Linked DNA regions of Mus musculus. The protein of the gene in region 2 purifies or fractionates together with the protein of the main gene of each other region. This does not show direct contact. Links are inferred from orthologs where the notes say so. Each region holds a gene or a part of one and is shown on either strand. Other genes may lie near its edges.

Region 1 (10,307 bases), on a different chromosome or scaffold from region 2:
CAGAGGCACACAGCTGTGAGCTCAGCTGCTCGGAACAGGAATATAGGTGCACGAGCAACAACACAGTCTCATGGCCAGAAGCACAGACCATGGGCAGAGAGTAGAGATGTAGAAGTCTGGTCACCAGGTCTAGGGATGCTTCTCAAGGTGGGACATTCCCCTGAGAAGGTGTCATCACAGCAGTGGTTCTGGAGTAATGAAGCAGGCACCCAGAGGACAATATCCTTCCCTTGTGCCCCTGCCTGCTCAGTGGGTCTGTTTACAAAGCGGCCTTTGTGGCAGGTAGCTCAGGTTCCGTATGACCTTCCTTTCTCTCAGACTGGTCTGGGTACTGTTATTGCTGAGTACCTAGAAAGCCAACACCAAAGCTATGTTATGCCATGCCTTAGGGGAGGGGGAGGAGAGTATGAAGTCTGTTACAAACCATGTGGCCAAGCAGATAGATAAAGGGACACAGCAGAGCTTGTGGGCGTGCAGTAAGTGACAAATGAAAAACTATCTGAGAGGGTTACCTGCAGTCGAAGGGACAACAAGCCACCAACAGAAAGGTCTAGAATTGTCTGCAATCTGGTCAGGGTGGAATCCAGAGGCCTGGGCTGGATGCTCTAGGATACTACCTAGCATTCAAGAGCCTCCTGTAACAAACAAACGAATGAATGAATGAAAGGGAAGGGAAGGGAAGGGAAGGGAAGGGAAGGGAAGGGAAGGGAAGGGAAGGGAAGGGAAGGGAAGCGAAGCAAAGCAAAGCAAAGCAAAGCAAAGCAAAGCAAAGCAGACCAAGCAAGCAAGCGTATGGACCTGAGGGTAGTGGTCTAAGACTATGATGTCTGCTCTCATGAGGCTGAGGCAGGTGGATCAAGAATTTGATGCAAACCTGGATTATGAAGTGGGATCTGGGCCAACTGAGGTACACAGCAAGACCAAGTCCAATCACAGTGATGACAGTGTGCTATCTTCAGAGTCATGAAGGCTGGCATAAAAAACTGGGACGTTTTACCTCTTCCCTCTCCCCCCCGCCCCCGTCCCTCCCTCACTTATTTACTCTATCAAATGCCAATAATAAATGTCTTATGCTGATACTTGTGACACTGTACCTAGATATGAGTACAAGAACTTTAGCATGGCCACATAGAAGTTTCCTGAACGACAGAAGGCACCTCAGTACATCCTAGCCTTGCTTTCCAGATTCTGCTAATGACGTCTGGACTCATTTTATAAGTTGCTATCGGGAAAACAACCTACAGTTTCAAAAACATCATAAATAAGAATGCCAACCGGAACTCCAGATGTTGAGAGTGAGGCGCTGAGGCTGAGGTGGCATTTGAAAGCGATATTGTCACACACGCTGCACAATGGATGAGCCCTGAGGGACCTCATGCTGTCAGCAGTGGTGGCAGGGAGACACAGGCCAGCACTGCTGCCAGCAGCCTGAAGAGCTTTCTCTCCCTCAGAGACCTCTGCTCAGGTAAAGCCATATGCTTGACAATGGCACTGAAAAGAATCTCAAGATGAGCCAAGCTAAAGGCAAAGTCAATAAGTTTATTAAGTATTTAGACAGAATCATAGGAAAAAGGCAGTGTACACTCGAGGCATGGGTGTGCGCTTCTCAAGAGAGTTCTCTTAGAAGGCCTGAAACTTGCTCTGTAGACCAAGAGGACCTTGAATGCAGGCTGGCATGCCCCCCCACCCCCACCCACATGTCTGGCAACACTTAGGTGGCTTCACAGTGGCTGTGTATGTGATCTGGTGGTTTTAAGTTGCATTCTTCAAAGGAAGCAATTTATTACAAGGTTTAGAGATTAATAGAGCTTGAAACTAAGTAAAAAGCCTTATTTGGATTGTGCTTTGCGTCAGTGATGCCCTAAGGGGCCATCTGAGGTGCACTGTTCCAATTAAGGGATGTGAGAGGGGTGCCCCTATGGTAGGACTCACTGTTGCTAGGTTTTTTTTTTTTTTTTTTAATCCTTGTCTGAGGTGCGTTCAGGGAAACACACATTAGCTCTCTGGCTAGCTTGGCTCATCCTGTGAAACAGAGTCCTTGCATAGAAGCTGTTTCTCCCAAAAATGATTGACTAGGCAGACATGCAGTAATGAGGAGAGGTGGGAAGGTTGTAGATCCAGAGCCAATCACCGAAGGCCATCTTATGCCTCCCGATAGCCATCTATTGTTCTCTTCTGCACCTGACCTAACATCTCTGTGACCACTGGTTAAGCCTTATGAACATATGAACAGACCCCTGGCTTCTACCAATCAAAGGGCTGAGAATGCCGTCAGACAGTATCTATGGCCAGTATAGAATTACCCAGTTTGCTGCAACCCACCTGCCTGATGTCCTCACATATGTATTTGAAAAGTATTATTTTTAAAAATCCATAGGGTTGCTACTTCATTGGAATATGGAATTTGGGAAGAGCTCCATCTACATTGCCCTGCCATGGTCACTTCCGTTAGGTTCAGAATAATTACCTCCTTTAGTCCTCTCTGGAAGGGGCCATTGCCTTCACTGACCATCAGTTGTTTGGAGGTACTTTGACTTTTAGTCAGCAAATTATGTCCCAGGGTGGGTGGGAGGGTTCCTTTCCTTCACACATTCCCTTAGCTGCCCCTCCACCCCACCCCATCCCTGTCCGATCTCAGTGCTAAGTGACCCGTCTTCTGTCAGGTGCCTAGAGCACTCAAATCCGGAGACAGAAAACAGAATGATGAACGCCAAGGATGGGCTCTGGAGAGAAATGCAAATTATCATTTAAGAGATGTGGAGTTTGGGCTTTGCAAGGTGAACCTTTGGGATGGGTGAGTGAGTTGGTTGCAGGCAACAGGAAAATGGTGTTACTGGGCCACAGTCTTGAAAATGGCCATTGTTAGGTGTAATTTACAACAACAACAACAGAGTGACTTGAGGCCACCCTGGTCTCTATATCGTGAGTTCCAGCTAGCCAGTGCTACATAGTGAGCCCCTACTTCAAAGACAAAATAGAATTAGAGACTAAGTTGACAGCTCAGCTGGTAGTGCTTGGTTATCATGCAGCCTTGGACCAACTTCAGCCCTGCATGCACTGGGTATGAAAGCTAACACCTGAAATTCCTCATTGGAGAGGTGGAGGCAGGAGAATGAAGGCTATCCTCGGCTACAGAGTGACCTCAAGGTCAGATTGGAATATAAGAGATCCTGTCTCAAAAACAAAGCAAACAAGCAACAACGGAAAGAATAAAAGTAAGAAAAATATTGACTGAAAAGCTTTGAGCTTGATGAAAGATTCTCAATCAGCAAATTTAGAAAGCCCAAAGAGTTCAAAGTACAACAAACGCAGAGACAGTGTGGCAAAACACAGAGCAGAGTGGGCGCACGCCTTTAATCCCAGCACTCGGGAGGCAGAGGCAGGCAGATTTCTGAGTTCGAAGCCAGCCTGGTCTACAGAGTGAGTTCCAGGACAGTCAGGGCTACACAGAGAAACCCTGTCTCAAAAAACCAAAAAACCAAAACCAAAAACAAAACAAAACAAAACAAAACTAGACTGAGGGAAACCTGAGTTTCCTTTAAAAGCACAAGGCGTATAATGGAGCAGTGGGTGACTATGATGAACTGAAGCCCTAAAATCTCAAGAAAGCAGAACAAAATGTCATAAAAGCTAGACTTTCATAGATTCAGTACACATGAAGCAGTAGTAGCAGAACACAAGGAAAGAACAGATGGAGAGGAAAACAATCCTGAAGAGCAAGAAATGAGAGGCCAAAAGAAACAGTACATCTAATGGGAAAACCAACGTAAAGCAGCAGAAATAAACCCAGGTACACCAACAAATACAATAAGTATAAATGGATTAGATGCACAAGCTAAAAGACAAAGACTACCCCTTGGAAACTTTTATTATGAAAATAACTTCAGGTGTATAGAACATGGGAAGTACATGAACAACATGGATATTCCTGCCATATAGAGTCATGTGTACTCTTCACACGAATGTTTGATGAGGAGGCTATGAAGGTCTATTTTACATAGTATACGTTACACAATGAAATACTAGTCACGTGCCAATGGGAACATACAGGGCTTATTTTGGGTATCAGACAGAGCTAGGCTCTCAGTTACTTTTAGTCATGTGATTTATGTGTGTAACTAATTTATTCTCTCAGTGAGGTCCTAGCACGGTGTGAAGCAGGTCGTTTTCTGGTTATTGTATTTCTAAATATTTCTTGCATAAACAAGTAATGCTATCAGCAAATGGTTCAGTGCAGCGCTTTGCGGTTTGGTAAACACTGAATGCAGAATAGCTTTTATTTATGACAGTTACTGAAAGCATTCAGCGGAGTGGCACGAAATAAGCAAACAATAATTGCCAGTTTATTATATTTATAATTGTTATTTATGAACTGTCACAAGGCCTGGCACATATCACTAACCCGTAAACATTGTGTTTGTAAGAATAATAAGTACTTTATTATATTCAGGCTCAGTAGAGCCTGGCACCACACGTGCGGGAAGAAAGTGGAAGTTTATTCTTGTTAATTATTATTATTAAGTAAAGCACTTAACAACAGTTCTCCCCGCAGGCGCTTACTGAACAGTCTCACTGGAGACCGCCCCTCCTCCCAAGCCTCGAGAGGCCACGCCCCCTGTCTCGGAAGCTCCGCCCTCTACCGCCCGGTCTGTGCCTGCGCAGTGGCCCTGAACACCCTGCGCATGCGCAGTCTCCCTTTTGTCGCTGGAGCCGCTGGCCACTGCCGGAGCCCGGCATCTGCTACGTACGTGCGTACGTGCGTGCGTCGGGGCGTGCGTGGGTACGTCGTGCGTGCCGTGAGCTCGCCCGGCACCGCGGCCTCGCCCTCCGCCCCTGCGCCCCGCCACCCAGGCCGCCGCCCCCCGCCCGCGCCGTCGCCCCCGACGGGGAGGACCATGGCGAAGGTGGAACAGGTCCTGAGCCTCGAGCCACAACACGAGCTCAAGTTCCGAGGTAAGCGGCCGGCCGGCCCGGGAGCTGTCACTCAGCGGCCGGTGCCGGAAGGGACGCGCCCTGAGGGCAGGACACTGTCCGCTTGAGGCCCGCATGCACCAGGCGTCTAATGCATGCATGTGGAGTCAGTGCATGGAAACGGTTTGCCTGAGTACCCTTCCATCAGCTCCCCCGAGGCAGCGAGCTGCCGGGGTTACAGCCCACGAAGCCCGTGCACACTTTCTGTGTAGTACACTTTCTGTATACATCTGTGTGTAAAGGTGCATGCCCAGGTGATTAAAAAGGTGCACGTAGACAAATATATATGCATGGTATACGCATGTTATAGATAGTGTGTATACATACATGTGCGTACATATATGTACATACACACACACAAGTGTGTGTGTATGTACACATGAATGTTTCCATTCACTAATTTTAAGGGCCACGAGGCAACAGGGTCCATGCCCAGCCTGTTCCTTGCTTCGTTGCATGTTTGAGTCATGAGATTGGGCACAGGAGGCCTATAAAGTTCAACAACCAGTAAGCAAGATGGCAGAATACAGTGGTAAGCACTAGGAGGAAGAGGAAGAAACTGGACTCTATGAAGGTGTACTTGAGGTTGGCTGATATGATCCTCTGTGTATTGCCCACGTGTAGCCCACAGCTGGCACACACGATTTTGGGTGGCCGAGAGTCACCCGTTTCTCCACCGCTGGGAAGTAACGTAGGATCACAGCTCTTATCTAGTTGTCGCATTTGAGTTCTGATTTCAGACGTTCAGATACTTAGCCACTGTACCCACAGACTCTTGGGAAATGCTTCAGATCTGTGGCTGTTCACCTTGCCTTCCAGGTTCAGAGTGTGCAGTGTGACTCTTACAAGGAAGCAGAGGCCGTCCAGTCAACCTGAAAACAAAAACCTTAGGCAGCCTAACACAGGGCTGTGGAGATGGTTCACCGGATAAAGAGCTTGCTGTCAAGGCTGAGGACTTTAGTTCAATCCCTGAGTCCCACATGGTCAAAGGAGAGAACCGACTTGTGCACATTGTCCGCTGACCCCAACAGGTGCAGCCTGGCACACTTGTGAACAAACACACAGACACATACACAAAAAAATTTCAATAGAAGCATCGACTTAAATGTGGACCCTCGTCACCAGAGGTTCCCCCACTTATCGGGATCCCACTTGTTAGCGACAAGGAAGTGGTGTCCGTTTGGTAGTGACTATTTGGAATTTCGAATGCTGAGTCTTTTTCAGGTTACAGTGGTGCGTGATCCCGTGCCTGACTGCACAGCAGTGAATCGCCGCCTGGTTATAACTGTAGCTCTGTGTATTTTGTGTGTTTGCACCCTGTCACGAGTGCAAGGCGTCCATCTCTGTGGTGGGGTGCTCATGTGCATAAACTCTTTGGCTGGTGTCTTTATTTATTTTGCGTTTATGTGTTGCGAATGGCAGTATGTGTGCCACAGTGAGTGTGTGGTACCCAGAAGACAACTTGTAGGAATCATTTCTGTCCTTCCACCCTTGGGGGTGGAACTCAGATCTCCCGTCTTGCGCAACAGTGCTTTTGTTTCCTGATCTGTCACACGCTGGTGTTCTCTTTTAGAGATATGTGGGTTCTCGTGTGCTGAGGTCAGTTCAGGCTGACCTCAGTCTTGAGACAACCCTCCTGATTTTGCTTCCCCAGGGCTGGTGTTACTGTCTCAGCACATATTTGAATATTGTATTGTTATCAAATGGGCACTGTGCACCTGTAGGATGACGTGAGTCTGGGGCATGTCAGCTGCGATGTTCAGAAAGGTCAAGTAGAGCCGGGCGGTGGTGGTGCATGCCTTTAATCCCAGCACATGGTAGGCAGAGGCAGGTGGATTTCAGAGTTCGAGGCCAGCCTGGTCTACAGAGTTGAGTTCCAGGATAGCCAGGGCTATACAGAGAACCCCTGTCTCAAAAAACAAACAGCAACATCAACAACAAAAAAAAAGGTCAAGTAGGTCGAATGCACTTTTACATAAACATATTTCAACTTAGGAAGGGGTTGTCAGGATCTAACTTTATTGAGGGACATCTTTGACTTTCTGTGATGTTCTCAGTGGCTTCTCTGGAGGGGGAGACTGGGAAAGGAAGACCATATCCAAAGTGACTTTACTGGGGTCGCCTGAAGCTCTTACCCGTGACATGGCACATTTATCCCATTGCTCTGCCTCTGTGTGTCAGAACCCAGGACAATTCAAATCCAGTTGGTTGGTCTCGCCTCCTCTTCTCCGACACCCACCTCTCCTTTGCATCCAGGGAAAAAGGGGGCAGATGAGGTGACCCAGACTAGAGTGTGTTAGGAAACAACTTCCCAGGGTGTGGGAGGTCAGATCGTGACAGAGTATCACTGAATCTGGTTACAAAGTTCCAGTGACAGCAAGGGGGAAGCAGATAGGAGAGTCCGGCATAGACAATAGTGTGCATAGAGGTCCAAAAGTGGGAGTACTTGCTTCTTGAGAGTGCTGTGGGTAGAAGGTGTGGGGCGGAGTAGAGGGCCAGACTGGCCAGTACATGAGAGTCAGATCTACACACCCACTTGACTGACCTTCCTCAGGTTGATGCCTGAAGCCCCCACACACTGCTGTCTCTGAAGGAGGGGACACCAGTGTTCCAGCTCTTCCAGTTTAGCATGTGTGACCTTGCCTGCCATTTGCTCTCTTACCTTTGGGTTGGTGGCAGTGCTAAGAAGGTGACACTTCTCCAGCCAACATCGCTGGTTGGCAAGGAGATAGTCCAAAGGTTTGGTGTCCAAACGTCCTTACTCTGGAAGAGTCGTCCAGGGATGTGTGGAGACTTGATGGGGGTCTTGGGAGTGCCAGCCATACATTAGCGTGTAGCCCTTGCCTTGCGGATGAAGTCTCACTAAGCCTTCCAGGCTGGTATGGGGTGCGTGGCTTTCCTGCCATAGCTTCCTGGTGCTGGGATTGGTGCCACCAAGCCCAACTGGGGTGTTGAGTTTCTTGGTTTGTTTGCTTGTTCCTTGGTTTGAGTGCCAAGACATAGAACGAGAGACCCAGCAAGTTGGCTCATTATGTTAAGGGAATTCATTTCAGGGTGAGGACCTTCAGACTTAACTGGTCTCCTTCATGTTATCCAGAATAATGTCTCTGATTTCTGAGGTTCCTGTAAATGAATTACACGTACAAGCTAATCAAAGTACTTGTCATCCAGGGAATCATGGGTCTTTTGCTACAGTTGAAGATGATGCTATGGGATTTAGTATTTGTCGTTAATCTTGGGAATTTTGCGTGATGTGTTAAATTTAAATATGTTATAGTCTGGGCGTGGTGGTGACACATGCCTGTAAACTAAGTACTTTGGAAACTAAGGTAGGAAGATTGTGAATTCAAGATCAGATTGGACTACATCTCAAGATAACATAAAATAAAATAAAACCAAACACAAAAACAGCTGAAGTGTGATATAGTTCAGTGGTAGTGGGCTCTTGGTTCAATCCCTAGACACACACACACACACACTGCATGTGCACATACAAGTACACACACATGTATATACACACAGCTGCCTATGCACCCACAAGTACACACATGCAATACACAGGCAATACACATACACACATATTCACACATGTATGCACACACGTACATGCACATGCACACACAATTACAGACGAAAACAGCCTACAGGTTCCTGTGCTTTTTTTATTTCTGGGGACCATGCCACATTGCACTGTAGTGAATACCGAGGAGGGCTGCTAATGGGAAGACACAGAGTCTGATCTTCATGAGCCATACTTCCTGAGAGAGTTAAAGGCTTCAGAAGCTTGTGGTAGGAGCGTTCCCTTCTGTTTTCTCCATCCAGGCCGGGTAGGGTCTGACTGCCTCTTACATCCTCCTGGGAGCTCTGACTTATGTCTACGTCTAGCCTCTCAAAGGTTTGTCTTTCCTTTCTCTCCTGTTGGATCTCCTCTGTGGTATGTGATGCCTTGTATAATTTAGGTCATTGTCCAGGAGTCAACACTCCCACACCAAGTTCTATTGAAGTCATAGCCGGGAATGATAGCTAAACACCTTACTGGGTTGAGACACCAACCTGTTGTGGGTTCAAGGCCTCCTTGCCTTGTTCTGGCAAAAGCTGGTTCAAAGCCAGTGACAATTTGGAAGTCAGACGCAGCTTACGTACCTAGGTAGGGGCACTCACTTGAGCACTCCAAGCTTGTGGGTAGACACTGTCTTTTGTATGGAGAGAAGAGTCTTAGACTTGTTAGTTCAGGTCATGGAGTTGGTATAATACAAATGTGGTGGGAAGAAACCAGAAGTGGTCTCCCAACCAGAGGCTATAGTCCTCACCGGCAGGAATTACCTTTCCACTGTTTGCTCGCTCGCTCGTTCGCTCGCTCAGTGGGTCAGAGCTCTGGTTTCCTTAACATTTCAGGATCCTGTTGGCAGCCAGTGCTTTACAGCACAACAAAATGTCAGCAGCGTGCTTAAGGTTCTTTATGGCCGTGGTTTAAATCCATCCTGAATAGATCATCTTCATGTATTTAATTATTAACCAGCTTGCTCATCACAAAAGCGAGTGGCATTAAGTTTACTGGGCTCGCGTCAAACTTAAATCTTCCCTGACAGCACTGTTTACTTCTGAAGCCTTCTCCCTCGGAGAAGAATGAACTAGACGGTAACTTTCTCTTCTCTTCTTCTTTTTCTTAAAAACATTTGTGCAGCCCTCGGCCTTGTACTTGGAAGGCAGCCTGGTTCTCTGTGAGGGCTCGTGTCGGGCAGCCTGGCAATTCCCTAGTAACTTTTCATCACTGTGTTGACTTATTGAAGTAATTAGTCTAAACTGATGCTTCTTAAAGAGCCCAACTCTTACGCAGCATTAATGCCATTTTTTATTATTACCCTTTCCTCCACAGAGATTTTTGTGCCTGCAGTCTTAGGCTAAGTAGTTAGAAATGAGGGGTGGGACAAGGGAGTAAGTTCCAGAGAATGTTAGAACTAGAAACTTGAGTTTTAAGATGAAGAACTTCCTCCCACACTGCTCCATCTATCTCTCTATTTGGTAAAACTTTGCCATCTGAAGGCTGACCTGGCCTTGAAGGAGCACTGCTGTCTGCGAGATGACAGAAGATGAACACAGACGAGCCTTCCATTAGTCAGGATGAGCTTGCCGTGGAGTCTTTCATAAAATAAGAGCCTTGAATTGTACTAAAACAAGGGTGCATTATGGTGCCGGCGTGTCTCGTTTTCTGTCATTTCAGGGCCTTCTCGGCCCACGCACGGTCAGCACATCACACCCAGAGAGCTTTGGCCTTGTTCACTGGTTCTTTGAAGCCTTTACCAGGGGACCTGGGCAGCTCTACCTCAGAAACAAAA
Region 2 (10,413 bases):
CATCTCCTGTCAGCATCGTTAGAATGCTCTCATTCTCTGAAAGTCTGCTTCTTTTACCTGCTTCCTTTCTGACTCAGCTTCCTCTCCAATGGCCCAGAAGTTCTGTTCATGTACATTTGTTATGTCTGATTCATCTTTGGGCTTCCAAAGTAAATAAGCCAGGGTCCCCACACTCAACAAGGGGATGAATAAATGACCAAGGAGGACACTAGTAATAATAGCACATGGTTTTATAATGTTAGCTATGTGCCATTCCAAGTCTAGGTTTCTGTTGAATGCATGTTAGCGCATAATGTTTTTACCTGGATTGTTCTAGGACAAGCAATATTCCAGATGAAAGAGGAAATGCCCTAAGGGGTCCTCTCATCTGAGTTTTGCCTCATCCTGACGGTCACACAGTCCTTGGTATGTATACAATTTTGGGAAAGCAGTTCAAAATGAATGGGTGGTGGAATCCAGTTAATCAGCCTTGGGAAGCAGTGTGCGCTCACTTCATCCCTAGCCATCAGTAAGAATAAATAACACACACTCTTCATCCTCTCTCCCTTCTCTCCCCTCTCACAACGTCTCCTTGGCCCCTTTATGGACAAGCATGAGTGTGCATGATGCGACATACACACACACATTCAAGGTCCTTAATACATATGTGTTCATCATTTTTATGCTAACAGAGAGGCTAACATGTGGAACTCTTCTATGCAGTGCCAGCCCATGATCATGCTTGGTTTTCTTACTCATCAGGGAGACACAGTAGGCAGGTAGCAGCCATGTTGTGTAATAAATGTTACACAAGGCACCATGAGATTAGGTCAGAGAGGTAAGGTTCAAAGCCCATGAAATGTCAGTCTTCCTTTCAAGAGGCACATCCTGGGGTTACATGGTCATATGAAGTCAAAGATGACACAACCATCCATGGGATGTACCACCCACCCAGAACATGCAGGTGCTTTTTCTTGGTTCGCCATTTTGACCGTGACACAGTTTACATCCCCTTCTGTCCCCCAAAGAACCAAAGTGGCCTCTCATCGTTTACTACCACTCTGCATATACCATGTATGCATGCACCCACATTTTTGTCTAATGAAATCACACCTATCAGCAGATGGACTTTAAAGCCACAATGAGAAACCACTGTCTAGTCTCCTTCTGTGTGGAACTAACAGCATCTTAGATAAATCATTATCTCCTTTGGCTCCAGCTCCAGGGAAGAACAAGTGCCCCAGATGGCTGGACTCCCCTTCCAGCCCCATCCCCACCCGCCCCAGTGTAATTAAAATTATAAAAATGACCCAAGGGTATTGAAAATTTGTTTCTGAAAGTGAAGGTTTCTAAAGTAATTTTGTAGTAACACCATTATGGGCTTTCATAATGTGTCTGGGGAAACCATCACAACCCTGCACTGTGAAGTCATGGTTAAGTCTGATGTTTACTTTGTGAGTTGGAACAAGATACAGAGCAATTAAAAACCATTCAAGGTTTCCTGTAACAGCAACAGCAAGATGAGAGTGGGGTCACCTAACTCTATGGACAGATCTTTTTCAAGGGAACATAAGGAACAAAAATCAAAGTTGATTTCATTGCCGGCATTGCTATTAGTCCTTTATGCACTTAGGACTCGATTGTTTAACTGGTCAACCAGAAACACTCTGTGAGTAAGCCCGTAGTCGTGAAAACAAACCCACATGCCGTGTCTGGAGCATGTGAGCACTCTTGGTTATTGAGTGAGTGTCTTACTGATAAGGATGTATTTGAGGGGTTTTAAATGCGGGACACACACATTCTAAAGGACTGGTGCCTTGTCTCTCTGTTCTAATCCATCTACATTGTATCACCAGCTCAGTCTCCTGAACTCAATAAACTCTCCTGGTCAAAACATACTAATGGGTGCAGGAGTATTTTCCTATAACCCAGTTGCTCTCTAGTTTGCATTCAAGCTTTCTGCACTCACCACTCAGGTATGACTTACCATGCTTAGCTACACATCTCTAAACTTCTTTTCTTCTTGCAGTACAACTGGATATTAATGTATGCCTCTGTCTAATGCACTCCCATCTAACTAGCCTCTCTAGAGGGTCCAGTGGAATACTTCTCTACTGAACAGCAAGCTTGTACAATACTGTAGGAACAATATGTACCAGGGCTTCCCAAACTTTAATAGGCAGATCGTGATTAAGGGGTATAGGGGTTCGCTCATTTGTTTTAATGTAGTGTATTGTGTATGTGTCTTTGTGAATGTATGCCACATGGTGTGTGTGTGTGTGTGTGTGTGTGTGTGTGTGTGTATGTGTCAGTGGAGAACAGAAGAGGTTGTGGGGGCCTCTGGAACTGGCTGCAGGTAGTTGTAGGCTGCTTGATAGGGTTCTGGGAAACAAACTCAGGTCCAGAAACATCACACTATGGAGTTTGGAAGAAACTGAGTTCGCTTTAGGTTATTTCCATGGAACCCTAAGACACGTGCTATCTGATCTCCCGCCTCTGACTGGGCTATCGTTTATGTTAAGAATTCCTTCCCCCAAGCTTTGCAACACCCACAGCAGCCTCTCTTTACTTATTCCAGTATGACATAGACAACTTTTCCCTGTAAGATCAGCAAGGACTGAGCCATCTCTCCAGCCGCACCCGATACACAAGGAAGCAGAGATAGGAGCTATTCTCTGCTTCTGCACCAGTGTTTTTCTATCGAAAATTACCTTCAGGTTTCTCTCTAAACCTAAGCTTCAAGTTCAGCTGCTCATCTTTCTGCAGGCTGCAGCAAACCCCAATCTCCTTCCTTCCTTTGCAAGGCATTGGTTGGGGTGTATTTCTCACTGAGGGAAATCGAACTTTGTATAACTATGGATAGAGTTAAACACTAACTTTCTAAAGAGCTGTAAAGTTACATTCATGCACTATCTAAGGCCTCTTTGTACCACTATGGCAACAGCACATCATATGTATGTTTAAACTGATTCTTTCCACAACAGTACAGCAGAAAGACAATCAAACCCAGCAGTTTTGGGCCAGGCATGGTAGGGCAGGCCTTTAATCACAACACTTAGGGAGCAGAGGCAGTAGGATCTCTGTGAGTCTGAGGCCAGCCAGGGCACAAACAAAACAATGATTTTTTTATTTTTTTTTTATTTTTTATTTTTTTTTTTGGTTTTTCGAGACAGGGTTTCTCTGTATAGCCCTGGCTATCCTGGAACTCACTTTGTAGACCAGGATGGCCTCGAACTCAGAAATCTGTCTGCCTCCGCCTCCCCAGTGCTGGGATTAAAGGCATGTGCCACCACGCCTGGCTGATTCATTTTTTTTTAATCCTACTTACTAAGATCCTAGAAAAATCTTTTATCAGTACCCATTTCTCTCCTGCAAGCCAGATGAAGCTCATAAGAGCACAGAGAGGACATTGGGGAAGAAGTGTATGACATACTTGTATAATTGCAGAGAGGCTGCTCAGGGGTGAATTAAAACTTAGGGGAAGGAGTGCTTAAAAGCAATAGCGGTCAGGAGGGAGAGCAGAGAGCACACTTCTTAGGGTGCCATGAAAATACCCCAGAACTCAGTTCCTTCCAAACTCTGCCATGGGATGTTCTAAAAGCGCTCTAGGTCTATTTCCCTTATGCTTTTACTCATTAGTTTCTTCTAAATCAATTCAACTTCTAAAATTTTATCCACTGCTGGGGGTGGGGTGTGGAGGTCAAAGGATAAGTTGTGGGACAATCTGGTTCTCTCCTTCTACCACGTGGGTCCAGGGAATTGAACTCAGGTCTTCAGGCTTGGCACCAGACACCATACCTGGCTGAGCTAGCTCACCAGCCCTCAATTCAAAATTTTTTTTGGGCCGGGCGGTGGTGGCGCACACCTTTAATCCCAGTGCTTGGGAGGCAGAGGCAGGCGGATTTCTGAGTTCGAGGTCTGCCTGATCTACAGAGTGAGTTCCAGGATAGCCAAGACTACACAAAGAAACCCTGTCTTGGAAAAACAACAACAACAACAATAACAACAACAAAAAAATTTAAAAAATTAAGTAAATCAACATAAAAGTACAATCTGTTATCAATACAGCTATCCTTTAGCAGATGGAACTATTAAAGATGCACTTAATATTACAAACTCAAGTGTAGCCTGGGATATTCTTGTCTAAGATGACCTACAAAAATATTTGTAAGCAAGATCTAGGGAGGGGGTGTGAATGTGAAAGGCAGCTCTTTTTGGTTTTGTGCTCAAAATGTTGGGGTGGGTGCTTCGGTGTTCCATGTCCCCTGTCAAGTATTGGTCAAGCAGTACAGCAGCTGGGCCTGCAACTGCTCCTTCATCTGGGTCTTCCTTCATCTGCTCTGACTTCTTGCACGTGTTTAAGCCTGTGATCAGAGGCATCTTTTTCACTGCGGATGCAGGCAGTGAGAACGGCAGGTTCTCTCCATGGCTGAACTCTTCTATTGCAATGGGCTGGACTTAGACTATAGTACAGTAAGGTCTTCAATAACGCTACGGTGTGACCCTCATCACTTCTCCACAGCAGGGACTTCAGAAGAATCAGCTATCCTTTCAGACACATCGAATTATAAAGTCGTCTTCCCGTGGAACTCAGGTGGAGGCAGGGACACGGCAACCCATACAGCCCACACCTACAAGATAAACAACCATCCATTGCCAATAACACTTGAAAACTTGGCAAATGGTGACCATAAATCAACCAACAGTTGCTGAGCAAAAAGATCATGGGCTTGGAACTCTTCCTTAACAAACTACAATGAACTAGGTCAGCCATTAATAAAAGCATGGGAGGGAGGGGAAGAAGGTGTAGGTCAGCAGTAAAGCTCTCGTATAAAAAGCGCAAGGCCCTGCATCTCCAGCTGGCAACGAGGTGATAAAAGCCCAGGAAAGTTAACAGGTCCTGACCCAGAATACTGGCCTTCTCAGTGCCACACTCAAGATTTGATTCTAAGTTGGCAACCACCTGGCTAGGCAAATAAGATGCTAACACAAGAAGTGGAGCAGAGAAGTGGCCAAAAGGATTGCCAGGAGAGGGGATATATACTTGGAACTCCTGGTTAGATGGAATATTGTCAAAGAAACCATTATACATGAAGACCAGACATTGCAGTTGCAGTTCTATTTCTCTATACTAATTCTTACTCTGCTAAGAGAAAGGCTTCCAAGTATCACCACTTGAACCGATGTTCTGCCTGGTGCTGAAGTCAACTGAAGATTTTAATGGGGAAAGAGAATCAGTAGATTAAGTTTTACCTTACTGCCTCTCTTCCTGCTGCAGCATCAACACAACGTTGAAGCAACTTGTGGGCTCTGGTTATAACCGCGGCCAGCCAGTACTTCCCTTGCAATAATACCTTAACTTACTTAGCTCAGCTGTCAGCCTCACAGTGTCAGTGTCACAGACCACTTCATCCCAGGATTGCAAGCCTCCGGGACAGGGAGCTAGCTTCATTTTCTGGCCCTGGTGGTAGGGATCAAACCCAGAGCCTTGCACATCTAGGGCTTTACCACTGACTGACCTGCTTCCTAGGGACAATCTGAGCTGCTCAGGCTGGCTTTGAATTTGCCTAGAAGAAGAGCCATCCTTCTCCTGCCTCAGTTTCCATAGTGCTAGGACTACAAGAATGAACCTCTTAAAGAGCCCAAGGACTCCTAAAATCAAGAGTTTTAGGTTGAGGTGTGCAGCTGGTTTCTGAGAATTCAATACAATGAACCACACTGTGTGGATGGTATCATTTCCCTAGACCAAAGCTGGCCTCGGAGCTTAATAACCCAGTAGAACTTTAACTAGAGAGAAATAAATTCCCGTGGATGGAAAGCCCCTTTAATAGGAAGCCTCCCTCAATCTCAGAGAGGGCTGAAGGAGGCCATACTAGCTAGACCTGATCTTTTGTGGGCAGGTTGTCCATGCTTTCTCTGTCTCACTCTGTAAGGGGTTAGGGTGCCGAATCCTTTTGATCCCGGGTAATGGGTTTCATCTTTCAACTAGCTCTGGTGGCGAAGTGTCAGTGCCAGGCTCTGGGTGACAGCCTGGGAGAGCTCAGTGGCTGGCCCGCCACCGCGCGGCGCCCGCCCGCCCCCTCCCTCCCTGCGCTCTCGCGCCACACCTGGGGCCAGCCTGAGCTGAGAGCGCCCCGGGGGCCGCGGGGAGCCGGGGACTCACCTGCAGCAGCACAGCCAGCAGGAAGCACAAGTACATCTGATAGAGGCCCATCTCGCCCACCGCCTGGAACGCCTCCTCCACCTCCATGGCGGGCTCGCGCCCGAGGACCCGGCCGCCACCGCGACGGAGGACCTGGCTGCGCGGTGGCTGAAGATCGGGCGACGGAGCGACCGAGGACTGAGCCGGGCGGGGACGGAGGGCCGAGCGGCAGGGACCGGGAAGGAGGACCGGGCGGACCGCGGCCGAGGCGGGGACAGAGGACTGGGCCGAGCCGGGGGTGGAGAACCGGGCGGGGCTGGGGCCCAGGCGCAGGCGGGACCCTGCAGACGACCGGGTCCGGGGTCGCGGCGGAGATGCGATGCTGGTCGCCCCGGCGCGGCCTCCCCGCTTCCTGTCAGAAGTGACAGGAATTTTTGGCGAGCGGTTGGCTGGCGCGCGGAAGGGAAAGAGGAAGTGGGTGCGGCGCGGGCGGCCAGGGCGACTCACGGGAGGGGCCGGCAGCTCCACGCCGTGTCCCGCGGGGTTCGCCCCTTCGCACAAAGCGGTGGAATGCGGGGGCGCTCAGAGCTCTAGAGCCTTCCGAGAAGAGGGCCGGGAGGCATCTGTCCCCTTCCTCCTTTGTCTTGCTTTAGGTACACAGGGTCAGATGTAAGCTCCGCGCCTCGAGACATCCACTTAGTAGTGCCCACTAGGCCCACGGACAAGGGACAAGGGACAAGGGCAGGGGGTCATGGTTGCCAAGGTCTGTCAATGGAGTTTGGCACAGGGCTGAAGAAGTGTGGGGACAGATTACTAGTGGCCCCACACCTAATCCTGTTTTGTTTTTAAACTATTGCAAGTATCTAAACCAGCATATCTCAACATGTGGGTCAGGACCAAAGACCCTTTCACAAGGGTCAGATATCAGATATTTACATTACAATTCATAACAGTAGCAAGATTACAGTTATGCAATAACAAAAAATTATTTTTATGGTTAGGGGGTCACCACAACACGAGGAACTGTGTTAGAGAGTCACTGCATTAGGAAGGTTGAGAACTACTAATCTAAACTATCGCTAAGTTTACCTTTGCTTTCTGTTGGTGTGATAATAGCATGACAGAAGAAACTTGGGGGCGGGGGGGGGGGTGGAGTTTATTTGGCTCACAGTTTCTCTCAGAGCCCATCATTGCTGGGAAGTCGAGGCACCAGGAACTTAAGCAGCTAGTAACATGGCATCCACAGACAAGAACAGAGGGCAGTGATGTGATGGATGCGCTCACCAGTGATCAGCTAGTTCCCTCACTCATTCGTTCAGACTAGGGCCCAACCTATGAAATGGCCTCACACATATGGGGGGGGGGGGCTTTCTAACAACCCAGTTTTTAAACAAATTCCCTCAGAAGCATGTCCAGGGCCAACCTACTCTAGACTGCTCCTCACTGAGTGAATGGGAACTTCCTTCCCAGCCGAGGCTAGGTTTTGATCGTTAAAACGAACCATCCCCTGAATATAATACAGAGTATAATGGATGACCAGGAGGTCCCCTTGTCTTGCAAGCATTCTTGTTGTGCTTCCACAATTTCCCATTAATTATGTCTGCTGTTTATAACTGCCCTTTAGTGGTCATCTACCTAATTATTGTAATAAAATGATACAATGTTGACTATGGCAGGGTTGGAAGCAGCCAGTGTGGTGGCCACAAAAGATGAATTGGAAGTGCTTAAGCCAGTGGTGGTGGCAGCAGCCATAGAGGCAGCACAGACCTTTGATTCCAGCCCTGGGGAAGCAGAGGCTGGGCTCAGCTACAGAATGAGATCCCTGGCAGCCAGGACTACAAAGATAAAGCAGCAAGACTTCCCTTTAACCATATGGTCTAGCTTTCTTGGCAGGCAGTGCTCTCTGTGAGAAGAGGGAGGGGCAGGGAGGAGAGGGGTCACTCAGCTTTGTTTCTTATTAAAGAACTTTTACTATTTTTTTTTCTAAAAATGTTTCCATTTTTATTTACGACTGTTTTGGGAATAAACTTGCTCATTTTGCCCTCCTAGACCATGATCTGGCTGTATTTGCACCCCACTTTTCGTTATTTTTATTATGACATACTTTGTTTAGTGTTACATAGTTATTTATTAAATAATTCATTATTTGTTTTGCATTTTTCCCACTTTTTTTCTACACAGAAAATATTTGAATATAAAATTGTAGTTCGCAGACTTTGGAATTTTTTTTATATATATTTTGTTTAGCTTTGTTACTTTGTGATTCTTTTACTAGCTAGATAGTGTCAGTGTTTATAGCTTGTTGGCTTTCAACACTTTCTCTCCCTAGCCATCTTTGATTTATTTAAGATAAGCACTGCTGTATCCCAAGTTGGCTTCAAATTTGTTATATAGCCAAGGCTATCCTTAAACTCCTGATCTTCCTGCTTTTGTCTTCTAGAAGGCTGAGAGAGCAGGCTAGCCAGCCTACTGCACCTTGTTACAATCTCCTTTGTAAAGAGTGATTATGTGAAAGGGTATACAATCCTCTAAGTACTATTTACCCTGATTTACCAGTTCTCCTAAGCAGTATTTTGTAATGGTATTGTAATTTGCTCTTTAACCAGTGTTATGTTTTTGAGCATTCTTTTTACCTTTCTAGTTAAAAGTTGTACCTTTTAACATTTTTTAATTATTATTTATTTGAACATTTTGTGGGCAAAGACAATATTAAATCCTAGAACTGCCTGACTTTTCCTGGGACCTAGCATCATTGTATTACAGTGCATTCATTGTAAACAAAACAAAACAAAACCCTGCACCATATGTGTTGAGAACAACACATGGTTTTCATTTGCTGGGCTCAGAACATTCTGTAAGTTAGTACATCATACTTGTAATCTTACTGAAATCATTGGCATGCATACTAAAGGCTTATATCATTCTTTAATAAATATATCAACATCTTCCAAATTATTTTCTTTTTAGATTCTCTTTTTAAATTTATAAGTTCACAAGAGGACAATCTAAGTCACTTGTTTATTATTAATAATTTCCTTGAAATCTTGTTGTAGTCTTCATCTTATCCTTATCTTTTGTTTACTCTTCCTTCTTTTGGAAGTTTATGGGAGGAGGACTTATTTCATTCATCTTGACAGTCTCTTGTTGAGGTTTGGTCTGTTGATATGTACTGTAATGCTAAACACTGGCCCTGGCTACCTCAGGGAAAGGAGATCCTCAGCACACCACGTGATGCTGCCCCTCAAGCTATCCCTGATTGGTCAATTAACAAGCCTATGGCCTATGGCTTATGCAGGAAATAGGAGGTGGGTCATCCAGAAGGAGAAAGAATTCTGGGATAGAGCCAGGTGGAAAAGCCACCCGGGAAGATGTGAGGAGACAGATACATGGTACCTGAGCACAGGTAGCCAGACACGTAGTAAATGTGGATTAAACTAAATGTGTTATCTTAAGTTATATTTAGTTAGAGAAGAGTCTAGCTATATGGCCAAGGTTTTTTTAATTGACAGGTGATGCATCCATACAATATTCAAGATATTCTCTCTACAGTCTCTCTCTTCCCATTCAACCTGATAGTCTATTGTTTGTTCCTTTGCTTTGTCTGTTTCTGTTTGGTTTGTTTTTGTTTTGTTGTCTTCCTATTTAGCCTTTAGTGGCCTGAAACTTGATATGTAGACTAGGCTATCCTTGAGCTCACAGGAGTCCACCTGCCTCTGCCCCTCTGCCCCTCTGCCCCTCTGCCTCCTGAGTGCTGGGATTAAAGACATATACCACTATACTAGACATTTAAGTGGAGAATAAATCTCGATATATTTGTGATGAATTATATAGTCAAAATTGTTTTCGCCATCCTGCTCTGTGCTTCTTTTAACTGCCTTGGTCATCTGTTGGATTATTGCATTTATTTTTAAAGACAAGGTCTCACTATGCCCCCCTGGCTGGCCTGGAACTCACTTTGTAGACCAGGATGGACATTAATTCAGAGACATATCTCCCACTGTCTCCCAAGTGCTGGGATTTAATCTATTTTTTAAGATCTATATTCCTTTTGCTACTCTGGGAGCTCTGGGTCACATCTTTATTAGTGTTTTGGAAGTTACACCTACAATTTTTAACACCTATAAAACTGTGCTTTCCCACGATGTTTTTATCTATACATTCTACATAGAATCTATGTGTGTATCCTCTTTGCAAAGTGATTAAAAACCTATACAATGTTTTAGGAATACTGTATCTCAGGGGGCACAAAGATGTCACATTCTGGAAATGTTTCTAAATGATTGTCACGTTGG

The links. The genes of interacting proteins can lie anywhere in the genome.
Region 1: the proteins of Slc22a15 (region 2) and Vapb purify together in Homo sapiens (co-immunoprecipitation; 3 studies listed by BioGRID and IntAct, with this or other methods). This does not show direct contact. The link is inferred for Mus musculus from reciprocal best matches to the Homo sapiens genes SLC22A15 and VAPB.

What each region holds. Positions count from the first base shown.
Region 1 is NC_000068.7:173,732,798-173,743,104, forward strand, and holds the start of Vapb (vesicle-associated membrane protein-associated protein B), read left to right. Parts: upstream 1-4,773; 5' UTR 4,774-4,895; coding exon 4,896-4,953; intron 4,954-10,307. UniProt on the Homo sapiens protein: Endoplasmic reticulum (ER)-anchored protein that mediates the formation of contact sites between the ER and endosomes via interaction with FFAT motif-containing proteins such as STARD3 or WDR44.
Region 2 is NC_000069.6:101,917,890-101,928,302, forward strand, and holds the start of Slc22a15 (solute carrier family 22 member 15), read right to left. Parts: upstream 6,565-10,413; 5' UTR 6,230-6,564; coding exon 6,143-6,229; intron 1-6,142. UniProt on the Homo sapiens protein: Organic zwitterion/cation transporter with apparent specificity for amino acids and their derivatives. Has low affinity for its substrates and may regulate their flux across the plasma membrane at high substrate concentrations.